Linked DNA regions of Canis lupus familiaris. The protein of the gene in region 2 purifies or fractionates together with the protein of the main gene of each other region. This does not show direct contact. Links are inferred from orthologs where the notes say so. Each region holds a gene or a part of one and is shown on either strand. Other genes may lie near its edges.

Region 1 (4,931 bases), on a different chromosome or scaffold from region 2:
ATCCCCCACCACTGCCATCAGCATTAAGAGCATGGCCATCAGGCCCAGTGACAGCCATCTGAACACCAGCAGTACTACACAGCCTTCCCCTCATTCTGGAACCACAGCCCTCTCCACAGTCCCACTCCCTGCCAGGCTGACATTGCCAGCCAGCCTGTATTCCATGGTCTAGGGGACAGCAGTCATTCTGCTGCCAAGAGGAGGGCTTTCTTATGGGCTAGAGGTATTCTCTCTAGCGTGGTTCCTTAAGGGCTTCCCACTCAAACCAGATCCTGGTATCTTTGAAGGGTTGATACCCTCCTAGAATTATCTGTTCCAGGTGTCCTCCTCATCACTGGGCTCCAGGTCAGGTACTCCTTTTTGGAATCCAGGTGTCCTCCTCCACTAGCCTAGGGAGATAGCACCATTATACCACCCACAAGAAACAAGAAAAGGCCACATTCCTCCAGCCCCTTCCCCTGCCTTCTATCCAGGGTAGTCAGCTCATATAGGTATGCTTCTCTAGATGGCTTCTGTCAAGCTCAGCTGACCCAAGTGTCTCAGCTAGAGAAGGTGAAGGACCTCTGAAGTCACATAGGGAGGGAGAGCCAGGGTAGAGGGAGGGCCAGAACTCAGGGGCTCCCTACACTGCATAGGCTACAGTGACACAAAGGACCAATACAGACAAAACTGTGTGCAGGCAAGACAGAAGCAGTATCTCCGAAGGCAGTTCCCCATCGTACCAGGCTCTGGGATGCCTATGTCCCCCACCTAATTTCAGGGCCCCAAAAGCCATGTAGAATATGAAGTACGCAATCCACTACACAGTCTAGTGGGAGAAGGCTTCTCAGGGCCCTAAGGCTCCCAGCCAGAAGGGACCAGAGTGGCCAATAGCCAATCCCATTGATGGCAGAGCCTTTCATCTCTAATGACCTGTGTTCCAAGGGTGGGCCTACAAACCCTGCCCCCAGCCCAAACAGCTCAGCATTCCCCCCAGGTCATCCAACACGGCCACAAGGCTGGCCAGAGGGTGACAATCCTTACCCCAACTCAGGAGGGCTCCCCAATTCTCCTATCTCCCTGATTCAAGGTCATCTTAATTCCCAATGACATGCTGACAACTGGGAACAGGAGATGTTGGTTCCAGCCCCTGAAGTACTAGCAACTCACCCTGGGACTCTCCATAAGTCCTCCTCCTCCCTGGGGATCAGACTTCTTATCTACACATGCAGAATGGGGACTCCATCTCTGAGGCCTTAAGCTCTAGTTTCTGTGATTTAGGAACAAAGGGGGTTTGCATGGCGCCTCAGGGACCTCAGCCCATCAGAGATTCTGAGGGAGTCCAGAGTTTTCACTCAAATTCACAAGAGGCATTCTCCTCATCAGAGCCCTGGTCTGATGGGCGGAAACATGTTCAGACTGGGAATAAAAAAATGTTTCTTGAGAACTAACTTAACAGAGCTAAGGCCCTTTGAGAAGCACTGGGGAAATGTGAAGGACTAAGAGAACTGCCCTCAGGCAACCATTTCGCAGAGACAGAAACTGAGGTCCAGAGAGGCCTGGAAATCTGCTCGAGACAACACAAGCAGGAATTCAAGTCCCAGGCTGTCTGATCAGAGTTCTCTCCCAGGGCTTCAGGCTGGGTAAGAGTAGCACTGGGATGTGAAGACTCCTGAAATCCCTACAGGCATAGTGAGCTCAGAAGCTGGACTCTGTTAAGATCAGAAACTCACAGTCCAGGACCCAGGGCTGGCTGGCTGAGTTGATTCTGTTCTGAAATGCCCACAGCCTGGCCCCAGGATCCATCCCCACGTTAGGGCCTGACCACCTTCTGACATCCTTCTCTGAACCATCCACCCCAGGGAATGAGCAGCAACACAGAAGCCTGCCATGTGACCTTCACAACCCACTTGTACACACAGCAGGGTAGCACTGCTCCCTGAGCCCATCAGGTCCTCCTAAGGTTGCCTGCGTCTTGGCCCCTTGGACAGACAGGCATCAAAGCACGTGAACTGGACTGGTGTGCAGAGCTAGGGCTGGGGATCCTGTCCCCAGTGACCGCCTTCTTCCTGAGGTGAGCTGGGCAAGGCCCAGCCTGTCTCTCTGCAGCCCCAGGTGAGAGGCCTCTGGGGAGATGCTCTGAGAACCACTCCTTCCTACAGGTGTCAGCGGGATCCTCGCTCTTCCATCTGGTCCTCTCACCTCGGGGCCGGGCCAACCGGGGTTTCTGAGATGCTGTCCCCGAGAGGCTGCTGGGTGGCAGGGAGGCCGCGGTCTCCCCCTCCCCCGCTCCCGCTCCCCCGCCCCTGGCCGGCTGCCTCGGTGACCTCCCCTCCCCCAAGACGGGCGGAGAGCCGGGAGGTGGGGGTGGGAAGCCTCGTCTGCGTTCAGCGCTCTCGCTCCCCCCCGCTCCCCGGAGGGTGCTGGGCAGCCAGGCAGGGCGTGCCGCCCGGTCCTTTCTCTGCCCAGCGCCGGGCTTCGCCGCGTCTCGGGGCGAGGCACCCCCGCACCATCCCCCAATCCGCCTCGCACCGGGGACCCCTCGCTGTCCTCGCCCAGACCCTGCGCCCGAGGGGCGCTCCCACACGCGGGCACCGGGCAGCGTCTAGAACCTTCCGCGCCCAGTCGGACGTGAGGCCGGGGGAGGTGGGCGCCCCGTTCCCCTACAGCGGCGCCCGCCCTTTCCGCGGGAGACAGGTGTCGGCTTCCCCCGAGGCCGCCGGCTCCGGGGCCTGGACGTGCCCAGCACTAAACATCTGTCGGGGCAGGGTCCGCAGGGAGCCCCCGCCGGCCCGCCTCGTGCTCGGGAGAGGGGCTCCGGCCCCCGCCCCCGGCCCCGGCCCCCCCCGGCCCCCCCGGCCCCTGCCCCCGCCCGCGCCCCGCGCCCCGCGCCCCGCGCCCCGCGCCCCGCGCCCGGCCACCTGCGCGCTCGCCCGCAGCCGCCGCCGCTGCCGCATTGCGAGGAGCCCGCGAGCCCCGCCGCCGAGCAGCCGCGCCCTCGGCCTCCCGCCGCTGCAGCCCCGCACCCCGCGCCCCTCCCCGGGGCCTCCCTCCGCCCGGGCTCGGAGGGGCCCTTCCGCGCCGGGGCCGGGGCCTCACCGGGCGGACGAGGGGGGCGGCGGGGGTGACTCGGCGCCCAGCCAGAACCGGGGGGCACTTACCGCTCTGCTCCCCCAGGAACACCAACTTGAATTTCCTCAGCGGGTTCCCAAAATCTCCCCCTGCGGACATGGTGCTGGCGGCCGGGCCGTGCAGGAGGCGGCGGCGAGGCGAAGGAGCCGGAGGGGGAGGGCGGGGGAGGCGGCGGCGGTGCGGGAGCCGGAGGGGGAAGGGCGGGCTGCGCGCGTCCCTGGCTCCCCGGTGCGCCCGGCCCCGGCCTGCGGCGGCGTGTCCGGCGGCGGCGGCTGGGGCTGGGGCTGGGGCTGGGGCTGGGCTGCGGCTGCGGCTGCGGCTGCGGCTGGGCTGCTGCGGGGCGCGGGGCGCGGGGCGCGCTCTGGACGCCCGAGGCGCGGGGCGCAGGGACGGCGCGGGGACGGCGGGGGCGGAGGCGGAGGAGCGCTCTCCGGAGCCGCGAGCCTCGAGCCGCGAGCCGCGCGCCGCCCCCTCCCGTCCGCCCTCCGCGGCCCGCGCCTGCGCTCTGCGCGCTCCCCGCCTCTGATGTCATGCGGGGCCCGGGTGCCCGCGCCCGGCCTCCGAGACCCCCGGGCCTCGCCGCCCCTCGTCGCCCCCCGCCCCCGCCCCCGCCCCGCGGCTGCCTGCCTTCCCCGCTCTAACGCGACCCCTCCTTTGAATCCAGAAAAATGACACGAAATTGCCAGGGGACATCTGTTTCTAGTCTTCCAGAACCTAGATGCGGGTCCCTTCCTCCACCTCCCGCGACGCCGAGAGGGGAAGGAGAGGAGGTCGGGGGAGAGCCAGGGGCGGTGGGCCAGGGGGCTTGGCCGGCCCGGCCGCGACCCTGTGTGGGTGGCTCTAGCCCTCCCTCCCCTGGGCTCCTCTCTGGGGTCAGCGGTGTCACCTCAGAGCTGGCCAGCAAGAGAGGAGGACCAGGAAAGGGTGCCTGCCAATCTCAAGCCAACCGCTCCTACAGGTAATTTTATCCTGGATCTGCTGTCCCATGAGAGCGAAGGAGCAGACACCCGAATATCAGCACGGCTGTCTCTGGACAGTGCCCTGCAGCAGTTCTTGACTCTGGGGCCACCAGGCTTCCGAGGCCTCTGCTTGCCCTGGCAATTAGTTGTATCTGGACAAGGAGCTTCCCGAGGACAGGAGGGTTGCTTCCCATTCCCCTCTGTATTCCTCTGGCCCAGCGAGGCCCGTGGGACAAGTTGTGAGTGGGTGAGAGCAAGGAACCCAAGTGTTAGAAGGACTCCCAGGACAGCCGGATGGTAAGGCATTCCAGTTAATGGAGGTTTCATGAAGCTGCCTCCTACTGTTCAACCACCACATGGTCTCCTTCTTTACTGTGGTTCAAAGAACATTTGGGAGCAAGCTCCGTGTGTATGTGTGTGTGTGTGTGTGTGTGTGTGTGTGTGTGTACAGAGAGAAGAGAAGCAAGCTCAACCCCTAGAGATTACCAAGGGACATTTGTCATCCTCTTTCTGACTTACATGGCTTGATTGGGGTGTCTTCCTGTCTGTTTCTGGTTTGTTTATCAGCCCCATAGGCTTCCTGGCCCATAGTCAACCCAGCTGGATCCCTCTCTCATTGCTTGTTTAAAAACTAGAAAGTGAGTTCCATGAAAGCAGCTGTTGAAGCTCCATCACAGGATCTCAAGGACCTAAATGAGAACTCAGTAAATAGTTGTTGAATGTTTGAATGAATGTCTAGAATGCAAATCAAAACAACTGTTTTATTTCTCCGAGTTGCCTTTGGTTTGGAGCCTCAGAGATTGTAGGGCCAGCAGTCTAGGATACCTGCCCCACTGTGCCTGGCATCAGGCTCAGGGGCAC
Region 2 (4,260 bases):
AATTTTCTCTGGGCCGACTCTACCCAAACTAGTCAGTTTTGATACCTTTAGCAGTAATCACGGTCGAAGCCACAGACTCACCCTTGGTACTCAATGTACTTGTAGATCATACCAGCTATTACCATGGCTACAATGGCATAATACCAGGAAGAAATGAACATCAGGGCCAGACAGATACTCATTCCCATGAAAGAGAGGGCCCTAAAAAATTAAAAACAAAAACACAAACAAGTGTTTTTCTAAGCAGCTAAAAAGGAAACCTGGGCTGGAGGTGCTTCTTAAACTGATGAGGGGTTGTTATTATATTTTAAATTCCAATATATTACAGACTATAAAATTTATATTGTAAATGCAATAAAGATGAATTATTAGAAAAATTACTATTTGCCTGGATACTGTGACAATGGTCAGGTTGCTGTAAGTTTTTAAATGCTTTTTCTCAATTTTTATAGTTGTCTTATCATGGACTGCAACAGTCAGTAGATCTGCACTGAGGCCCAAACCAAACCATCCTTTGTCCTGATGTTTCCCATTGCTGGAAAAACATAAATGAGTAGGATATAACGAAAAGTTATCTACAGTTGTGAATGAATTAATAACTACTTGGCAAAGCAGGGACGGGGCATGTAGTTAGAATTATTAACACGATCTTTTAAAAAAAAGTATTTCATGTAAATATTGCTAAAAACCTTATGAATGTTCATTAGCATACACATGCAGAACCCACTGAAGAAAATCTGCCATTAGTTTCTCTACTTTACATAAAAGAAACCTGGCAGAGAGGCACCTGGTGGCTCAGTGGGTAAGCATCTGACTCTTGATTTTGGCTCAGGTCATGATCTCAGGGTCCTGGAATCGAGCCCTGCTTTGGGCTCAGTGCTAAGTGTGGAGTCTGCTTAAGAGCCTTTCCCTCTCCCTTTGCCCCCTCCCCTTGGCTCATCTTCTCCCCCCTGTCTCCCTCTAAAAAAAAAAAAAAAAAAAAAAAAAAAAGAAAGAAACTTGGCAGAGAATCATGAAATGCTTGTTTTGATGATCAAATAGGTTAGGTAGACAATCATGCTTACTGAAGATCTTCTGTGTACAGAATGAACTTCTTAGCTCTATGATGAATTTCAAAGAGTGAACAGGAGAGTTGTTAATATGGAGAAAATTAGGATCTAATAAAAACATAGGAGAAGGAGAAAGGGAAAAGGTAATAAAAGCAAAATAGTAACACAACAAAGTTCACAGTGGATGTTTAATTAAGGTTAAAATTAGAAAGAGGATTAGAGGTGATAAAATCAGTGAGGATCCAAATTTTTGCCACTTTATAAAGCTCACACTACTGCTCATCATTGGAAAGTGAAGCCAGGAAAGGGTCAAGGAGAAAGTTAGCAAAGAGGAATGTAGCAACAGGACATACTAAGGAACCTTTAGCTATGATAGAAAAGAAATGAGGAGATAGGATGGCAGCTAAAAGCTTGATGACCCCCTTAGGACTGGGGAGACTTGAAAGCAGCAGCAGCAAATGCAGCAAAGTTTCACTGAGAGCTTTACTACGTCCCTGGCACTGTGCTGAGCACTTCAGATCATCTCAAAGAAATCCCATGAGACAGGTAATACTATCAGTCCATTTTACAAATGAATAAAATTAGATTTTATGTGGTTATGTGCTTTGTTAAAAGTTACAAAGCTAGGAAATAGTAGAGCAGACACTGAGCTAAGGTCATCTGACCCCATAGCTCACACTCTTACCTGCTAAATGAAACTTAAGAAGACAGTTTGAGAATGAAAACTGATGAGGATAAAGACAGAAAATTGATGAAATTCAGTGCTTAGCTAAGAGAGAAATGGGAAAATAGATATGCAAAGGGTAGGTTGGTTTAACCTGGAAAAATGCAGCAGGCTGGAAATATTTATTTCATAGTTTTGATCTTTATTCTAAGTGGGTGTTATAAATTATAAAGTGACCTATGAAAAAACACATAAGATGGTGGAAATTCAGGGAATCACTGGATGTTGAAATAGGCAGTATGGAATGGCTGGCCAAGAAAAACTGTGTTGACCACCCAGACTCTCCTCGTTTTCTAGTTAAAACGTGGGGAAGAAGAAGAAAAAGGGCAGACTTACCAGTGGTAGTAGCGGAACCGAGGTCTCCAGTTGGGTGTTCGAAGTAATGTTTGCAGAGCACATGCCAAGTTCACAAAGAGGTAACACATGAGGAAAAACCTGGTGGAATCAAAGAAGTTAAGAGGCACTGTAAAATGACTCTCCCAAGGGCTATTTTAAATAGACCTTGTTGTATTTAAGCCTCTGGTGCAGCCCACTAGCCTTTGATTCAGACTAGGATGCAGAGAAACTTAACTTCTCCCCACACCTTGCTCCTTCTCCTATGTTCTCTCTCAGCGAAAAACACAACTACTCTTTATCTAGTTGTTCTTGGGATAATCCCAGTTTCCTCTTTGTTACTCATCCTTGTTCCAAATTGACTTATCAAGTCCTATGGATTCTACCCATTCACAAATTTTTAAACTTTTCCCCTCCTTTCCATCTCTATTACTATATTACCTTACTTCAGGATCTCATTTTTTCCTTGCTGGATTAAATAAGCTTCCAGTTGGCATTCCCAGCTCAATTTTAGCCTCCTTCTCACTTACCTTTTATACCAGATTACTCTAAAACATAAATATGATCATTCCATTCTCAAAGGATCACTCGCTACCACCAGGTAAAAGTTCTAGGTCTTTTGTGACCTGGTTCTACCTAAGTCTCTGCCTGGCTACCCCCGAACAGGCACCCTCCCATCAAAGCCAAACTACTTTCAATTCTCAGATGTGCTGCATCGTTTCATTCCTCAATTCCTTTACCCACATTCAGTGTCTGGGACTTCTCACTCTTTTGTTGATTGGTAAATAATGTCCTCCTTCAAGATGCAAGTGTCTCTTTATCCAGAGAACCTTTCCCGAGTCTCAGTCCACTTAGGTGCCTCCCCTTAGAGCTTTCACGGTAGCATTCACCTTTACCACAGTTCTCATCACACTGCACAAGGACCACTAATCTCTTTATCATCGGTTCCTTAGGGTTGTGTTATTCATCTTTATATTCCTAACATGCTGCCCAGTGCCAGGTAGATATTAAGTCATCACTATGTCAGTTGAAGGATCAAAGCTAACAGCAGCGGTGAAAGCTATAACCAATTGATAATGAATCAGAAATGAAGGCAAAGAACTTCTGAAGCTATACAGGTAGGAAGAAACCATAAAATTATAAAAGTCAGCCTTACTTGAAACTTCTTTGGAATATGTATTATTTAGGTGAAGTTACACCTGTACTTGGCTTACTCTGTTATCACTACTATTATATGCCTGAGGGAAATTAACGTGTAGTACATATCACAAAAGCAAGAAACAGTGAAGAGAAGAACTGGCTCTTACATAGAAAGAATTGGGGCCACAAGGTCCAGGGAGGCGATAAGAATCCCCAGCTCTGCAATGGCAGCAGTTAGAAGTAAAGCCCAGGTAGGTTCCCCATTGGCTTTGCTGTGACCAAAAACCTGTACAGAGAAGGGATATATTAGTCACAGGTGTGTGGGGAGTGTCTGAGTCAATGCTCCCCTCGCTGCTACAGTTTCAGACACAGCACAGGATACAACTGTGCTGTTAAATACCTCTACCCCGCTTACATATAAACTCTTCCCTCATAGGGAAGGTCTTGTACTAAAAATCCACCTGTCTTCACATTATATGATCTGGTAATTCCTTTTTTTTTTTTTTTTTTTTCCTGATCTGGTAATTCCTAAGCCTATGAAGACCACACTGTTTCTCCTAAAATCTGAGAAAAAGGCAATAAGGTATGGGAGAGGGTCACTCACCCTCAGGAAGGGTATGATGTTATCCTTTGCTATAGCCTGTAGCAGCCTTGGTGCACCCGTGAGGCTCTGAAGTCCAGCCCCACATGTGGAGAAGAAGGAGCCAATAACGATCACCCATGGTGATGGCCAAGATAAGGTACCCACCACCAGATTACCTTTCACAGCATCCCCAAACCTGGGAAAGGAATGAGAGTGGGGAAATTTAACTACAGATTAAGAAAACTAGAGAAACATTCACCTAATTTTTTCTATTTATAATTTTTAGAGAATTAAAATTAAGACAGACATGAATAGTAACATAAAGGTAAGCAGATTTGATCAAAAGACATTGTTAATCTATATTAAGAAAAAATAACTTGTAGGACCAAGAGAATAAAGCCAAGCTTCAATTAAGGCTTTTGCCCTCAAAA
Region 3 (4,913 bases), on a different chromosome or scaffold from region 2:
GGGGAATGGAGGGGAGAGGTGAGGAACAAAGATTCGTGAGGCTGAAGAGTATAAAGAGGAAAGAAAACCTGGCAAGAGCAGTTACTTGTGTGGGAGACAGAAATATCTGAAGTCTACTAAGACAAGAATATCGATGGCTAAAAGGAGTTTAATAACTTCACAACATTTTCACATTTTCAACCCCTAAGTATAAAGCTCTCCCCAAATAGACTTTACATCCTTTCCAGGTCATGCATAGACTTCTGAACCAGATTACCCATAAGAGCATTACAAATTCTCCATTGATCTTTTCACGGCACAAGAACAGTGAAAACTTTATTTTTTACACTTGCAAAATCCTGTGTTTATTTTTCTAAAATAGAAGTCAAACAACTGAACCTGTCTTGTTTGAACTTTAGTAAACCTATTCTCTCATAATCCTGAGGCCCCAATCTCTGCCCAGAAGGAAATGAAGAAAAAGTGCTCTGTGCCACGCTGCAAAGTTAAAACACAACACGCGGTGCCTCCCTCGGTCTTCTGCTCAGGCACACCCGAGCCTCCTGCTGGTGGCCGTTCACACTGCTGGAGCCCTATCATATGACACCTGCCGGGCGGAGGGGGAGGCAGAGGCTCTTCACCCGCATTCGTGTAGAAACTAGTTCAGTGTCTGAACTACTAACTTCTGTGAGTAATGTTTAAGTAAAAGTGCTTAACCACAAGTTCACTTGTAATCACTCAACTGGCATTAAACACTAAATGGAAATGGGTTTATAATTCCTTATAAACATTAAGCCCTTGCAAAACCCCTATGCCAGCAATCTGATTGGTCAATAGCATGGCCCATGGACCATCTCTTAGCTGGAGAACAGAAGATACATTTAAAATGTAGAAAAGCCCTTTCCACAGGGTGAATGTGCAAAAACAGGAGAAGTAAGAAGCAGGTATTTCTGTTCTCAAATGCCTTAGGTAAACTGACCAACCATAATTAACAGTGCTGTCACCGAAAGCAGGAAGAAGCCCTGCAATTAAGCCCATCACTTAAATTAAAATATTTTTATTCATTAGCTCACAAAACTAGTCGGCTCAAAATACGGTTTTCAATAAGCAAAGCTTACATTTCAACGTAATAACGGACAAAAATAATCATATAAATTGGTTATAACTAAATTCTGGTGTTCTCATGATCCCCACCACCCCCCCCCCTTTGTGCTCTCCCAGTGTTCACCCATCACCTCTTATACAATCATTTACATAAAGTTGCCAGGTCCTTGAGGGCAAGAACCTTTTTTTATGAAATTGCATACTGCTAACACGCAGCACAATGCTCAGGACATAAGAGACTCTTAGATGTTGTGGCACGAGTCAAAAAACAGGGGGTTACATGCTATAAAGTGTGTAAAAAGAGGGGTAGAGGAAGCCAATATGCTTCGGCTCAGGAAAAGCAAAAGGCTTCTCAAAGAAAATTCCCTCTGGCCGTGGGAGCTGAGTGAGATTCCCTGACAAAATGGGCACTCGGATGAGAGGAGAGTCTGTACCCAGACAGGAGGACTGGAAGGCCAGATGTGTCAAAGGACAACACAATGCTCAGGGCGCGATCAATACACGCAGACCAGGGGAAGGGGCAAGCCTGCTGAGGGCAGGCAGTGAAGCTGAAAAACTGGAGGGGGCTTATATGCCACCTTCAAGCAGTTTTCATTGAGAAGCCCTTAAAGCCATTTAATCCAGAAAGTGACACAAGGACACATTCCCTGAGAATCTCTGGCCCAAACTTGTGAAAAGTCTGGGTTTCCAAAGAATGTTATATAGAGATGTCTATTTTAGATTATTTGAAGTTTCGGTATCCTTGGTTACCGTCCTGCCCATCATTTTCTCCTATAGATGAAATATACGCGTATTTCAGGCCATGCGGTTTCATTCCCACAGCAGCAGGTGATAAGGGCTCATTTGCAGGCCTCATGAAATTCCTCCGGTTTTAATTTTTTAAAGGGGGGGGGGGGGGGACGGGAGTCTGGAGAATTTTTTTTTTTTTTTTTTTTTTTTAAGGAAAGCAAAACACATACCTAACATAAATACCCTAAATTCCTTTTTCATCACGGCACGTGCACACCGGGCCCCGGGGCAGCCGCCTGCCCCCCAGGCCCCCCAGGCCCCCGAGCTCCCCGACCCGGCTCCGCAAAAGGGCCTCGAGGGAGAGGTTCTGGGCCACGGGTCGGCGCACAGCCCCGGCCTTTCCCGTGCGAGGCCCGAGGAAAAGTCACGCCGCCTGCCTGCCGCGGGCCCGGACACGTTTTTGGAAACCGGGAGCCGACCGGGTGGCGGCGGGCGCGGGCGAGGACCCGGACCCGGACCCGGACCCGGGGGAGGACCCGGGGGAGGACCGGGCGCCCGCTGGGTCCCGGGGCGGGGGCCAGGGATGGGGCCCGGGGCGCACCGGGCGGCGGGGCGGGCGCGGGGCAGCGGCATCCTCCGCGGCCTCGGGAGGGGCCCCGGGACCCACGGCGAGAGGCTGCTCGCGGGGCGCAGGGGCGCAGGGACGCCCGCCGAGGCCCCCGGGACGCGGCCCCCCCCGGGCGCGGCGCGGCGGCGCTGGAAGCCCAGGGCGGCGCCCCCGCAGCCCCGCCCGCCCCGCCCGCCCCGCCGCCCGCACCGGCTGCGGCCCCGCCGCTCGGCTGGAGGCTGACGCGGCTGCTCGGCGGCCCGGCTCCCCGGCTCGGCCGCCCCGGCTCCCCCGCTCCCCGGCTCCGCCATCCCCGGCTCCGCCATCCCCGGCTTCCCGGCTCGCCCGCTCCGCCGCCCCGCTCTCCGGCCCCCCATCCCCGGCTCCGCCATCCCCGGCTCCCCCACCCCCGCCCCCCCATCCGCCACCCGCCGCCCCGGCGATCCGGGAGATAAAAGTTTGCAGCGTGCGGCTCGTCTGCAGTGCGAGTCACATCCGCCGCGCCGCCGCCTGCAGCAGCAGCAGCGCTCAGAGAACGAACAAATAAATTAAAGGAAAAAAAAAAAAAAAAAAAACTGTTGGAGCCGGTAGGCCCGAGGCCGGGCGCCAGCCTCCCGGCGAGCACGCAGCGAGCCCCCCCGGCCCCGGGCCCGCCGCACTGACCGATCACCTCCTGCAGCTCGTACGCGTCCCTGCAGATGGGCCAGCCGGCCGCCTGCGCCGCGGGGCCGGGGGCCGGGGCCGGGGCCGGGGCCGGGGCCGGGGCCGGGGCCGGGGCCGGCGCCGCGGGGGCCGCGGGGAACGCGGGGGCCGCCGCCGTCGCCGGGGCCGCGTGCTGGGGCGGCTGGACGTGCACGGGCGAGCCGCCGGGCTCCGCCATGATGCTCCGGGCGGCGGGAGGACGCGCGGCCGGCGGACGACCTTCCACTCGAAACTTCCCCGGCCTGGCCGCCGCCTCCCGCCGGCGCACGCCCTCCCCGCCGCGCCGCCGCCGCCGCCGGAGCCCCGAGGGGAGGGAGCAGGGAGGCCGGGCCGCGCGGAGGGCGGAGGCAGCGCGGGGGGGGGGGGGGCGCCGCGGCCCCGAGCCTCGCGCGCGCCGCTGCCGCCTCCGCGGGAACCGCCGCCTCCCCCCACCCCCCGCCCCCCGCCCCGCGCCCGGCGCCGGCGAGCCGGGCGGGCTCGGTCCGCTCGGCCCGGCCTCCCGCGGCGCCCGGGTCCCCGGGGCGGGCTCGCGCGACGCCCGCTGAGCCGTCCCGCAGGCCGGGACCCCGCCGCGCGTCACCTGCCAGCATCCCCTTCGCACCTTCGCCTCCGAGGTTCAAGCCCCCGCCCCCCCCCGAGTGCAGCGTGATTCCTCGGGTCCCGGCGGTCCGCAGGCTCCTTCGGGACGTGGTCCAAGGGCCCGTGCGTGGGACCCGAGCAAATGGAAGGGGTCGCGCGCCCTGTGGCCGACTGTGGCCTCCGCCGCAGGCCGCACTGGCCCCCGGCGACCGCGGCAGGCGTCTCTCTTGCAGCGCACACTGCGCCCTAAACGAGCTGCCGAAAACTTTTGGTTCATTCATTGCTGCTTTCTTTCCCCAACTCCCCCCCCCCGCCCCCCGAAATTACCTCATCTTTACCGCTGCTGTGGTTGAACCTTAGGTCTTCCTAATTACGGGTGTCGTGTTGCACACTGATGTTCCCTGGGTTCCCTCCGTAGCGATGACCTGATGACCTAGACGACACCACCCTCGTCTGAAGCAGAAACGGTGCAGGGAACCAAGGGTCCGCTGGGTCATTTTGCCCAAATTTTCTTGTGTGATTTTCATGACAACGGCTGAAGAAATGCATTAGAGTAATGAGCATTATTTAAAAAAAAAAAAAAAAAAAGGGCTCTAAGAAGTGGGTGATATGCTATATGTTGGCAAATTGAACTCCAATTTAAAAAAGGGGGAGGCGGATCCCCGGGTGGCCCAGCGGTTTAGCGCCACCTGCAGCCCGGGGCGTGACCCTGGAGACCCGAGATCAAGTCCCACATCAGGCTCCCTGCATGGAGCCTGCTTCTCCCTCTGCCTGTGCCTCTGCCTCTCTATCACGAATAAATAAATAAAATCTTAAGAAAAAAAAAAAAAAGCTCTAAGAAAGACTGTAATGCTTTGTCTTCTGCGTTTAAACACAAAAATCTCAATATTTTTTTGGAAGACAAGAGGAAAGTCAGAAATTCATTAGGAGAAATGTTATATGTCTAATCAAACAGGGATCTAAACTAAACCGAGTGTGCTTAATCTCATAGCATTACGGAACAGATGGGGTTCAGCAACTACGGTGCTCTGGTCTATAAGCAGAAATTTATGCTGAACTAAGAAAGTATACATCTTTTATGCATGGGTGTTCAAAAACTGCGTATTGATTTTAATCAAGAAATACAACTTGATGAACAAATAAATTCTAGGCCTCTGATGTGTTCAGTGGGGAGGAATAGGGAAGAGGGGAACTCTCTTTTTCAAGGGCTGCTCCC

Evidence for each region. The genes of interacting proteins can lie anywhere in the genome.
Region 1: the proteins of SLC12A6 (region 2) and RAB6B purify together in Homo sapiens (affinity purification with mass spectrometry; 4 studies listed by BioGRID and IntAct, with this or other methods). This does not show direct contact. The link is inferred for Canis lupus familiaris from reciprocal best matches to the Homo sapiens genes SLC12A6 and RAB6B.
Region 3: the proteins of SLC12A6 (region 2) and STK39 purify together in Homo sapiens (affinity purification with mass spectrometry; 3 studies listed by BioGRID and IntAct, with this or other methods). This does not show direct contact. The link is inferred for Canis lupus familiaris from reciprocal best matches to the Homo sapiens genes SLC12A6 and STK39.

Annotation. Positions count from the first base shown.
Region 1 is NC_049244.1:31,291,429-31,296,359, forward strand, and holds the start of RAB6B (ras-related protein Rab-6B), read right to left. Parts: upstream 3,297-4,931; 5' UTR 3,211-3,296; coding exon 3,141-3,210; intron 1-3,140. UniProt on the Homo sapiens protein: The small GTPases Rab are key regulators of intracellular membrane trafficking, from the formation of transport vesicles to their fusion with membranes. Rabs cycle between active GTP-bound and inactive GDP-bound states.
Region 2 is NC_049251.1:1,116,657-1,120,916, reverse strand, and holds part of SLC12A6 (solute carrier family 12 member 6), read right to left. Parts: intron 4,026-4,260; coding exon 3,851-4,025; intron 3,533-3,850; coding exon 3,414-3,532; intron 2,209-3,413; coding exon 2,110-2,208; intron 202-2,109; coding exon 82-201; intron 1-81.
Region 3 is NC_049257.1:13,453,029-13,457,941, forward strand, and holds the start of STK39 (STE20/SPS1-related proline-alanine-rich protein kinase), read right to left. Parts: upstream 3,297-4,913; coding exon 3,080-3,296; intron 1-3,079. UniProt on the Homo sapiens protein: Effector serine/threonine-protein kinase component of the WNK-SPAK/OSR1 kinase cascade, which is involved in various processes, such as ion transport, response to hypertonic stress and blood pressure.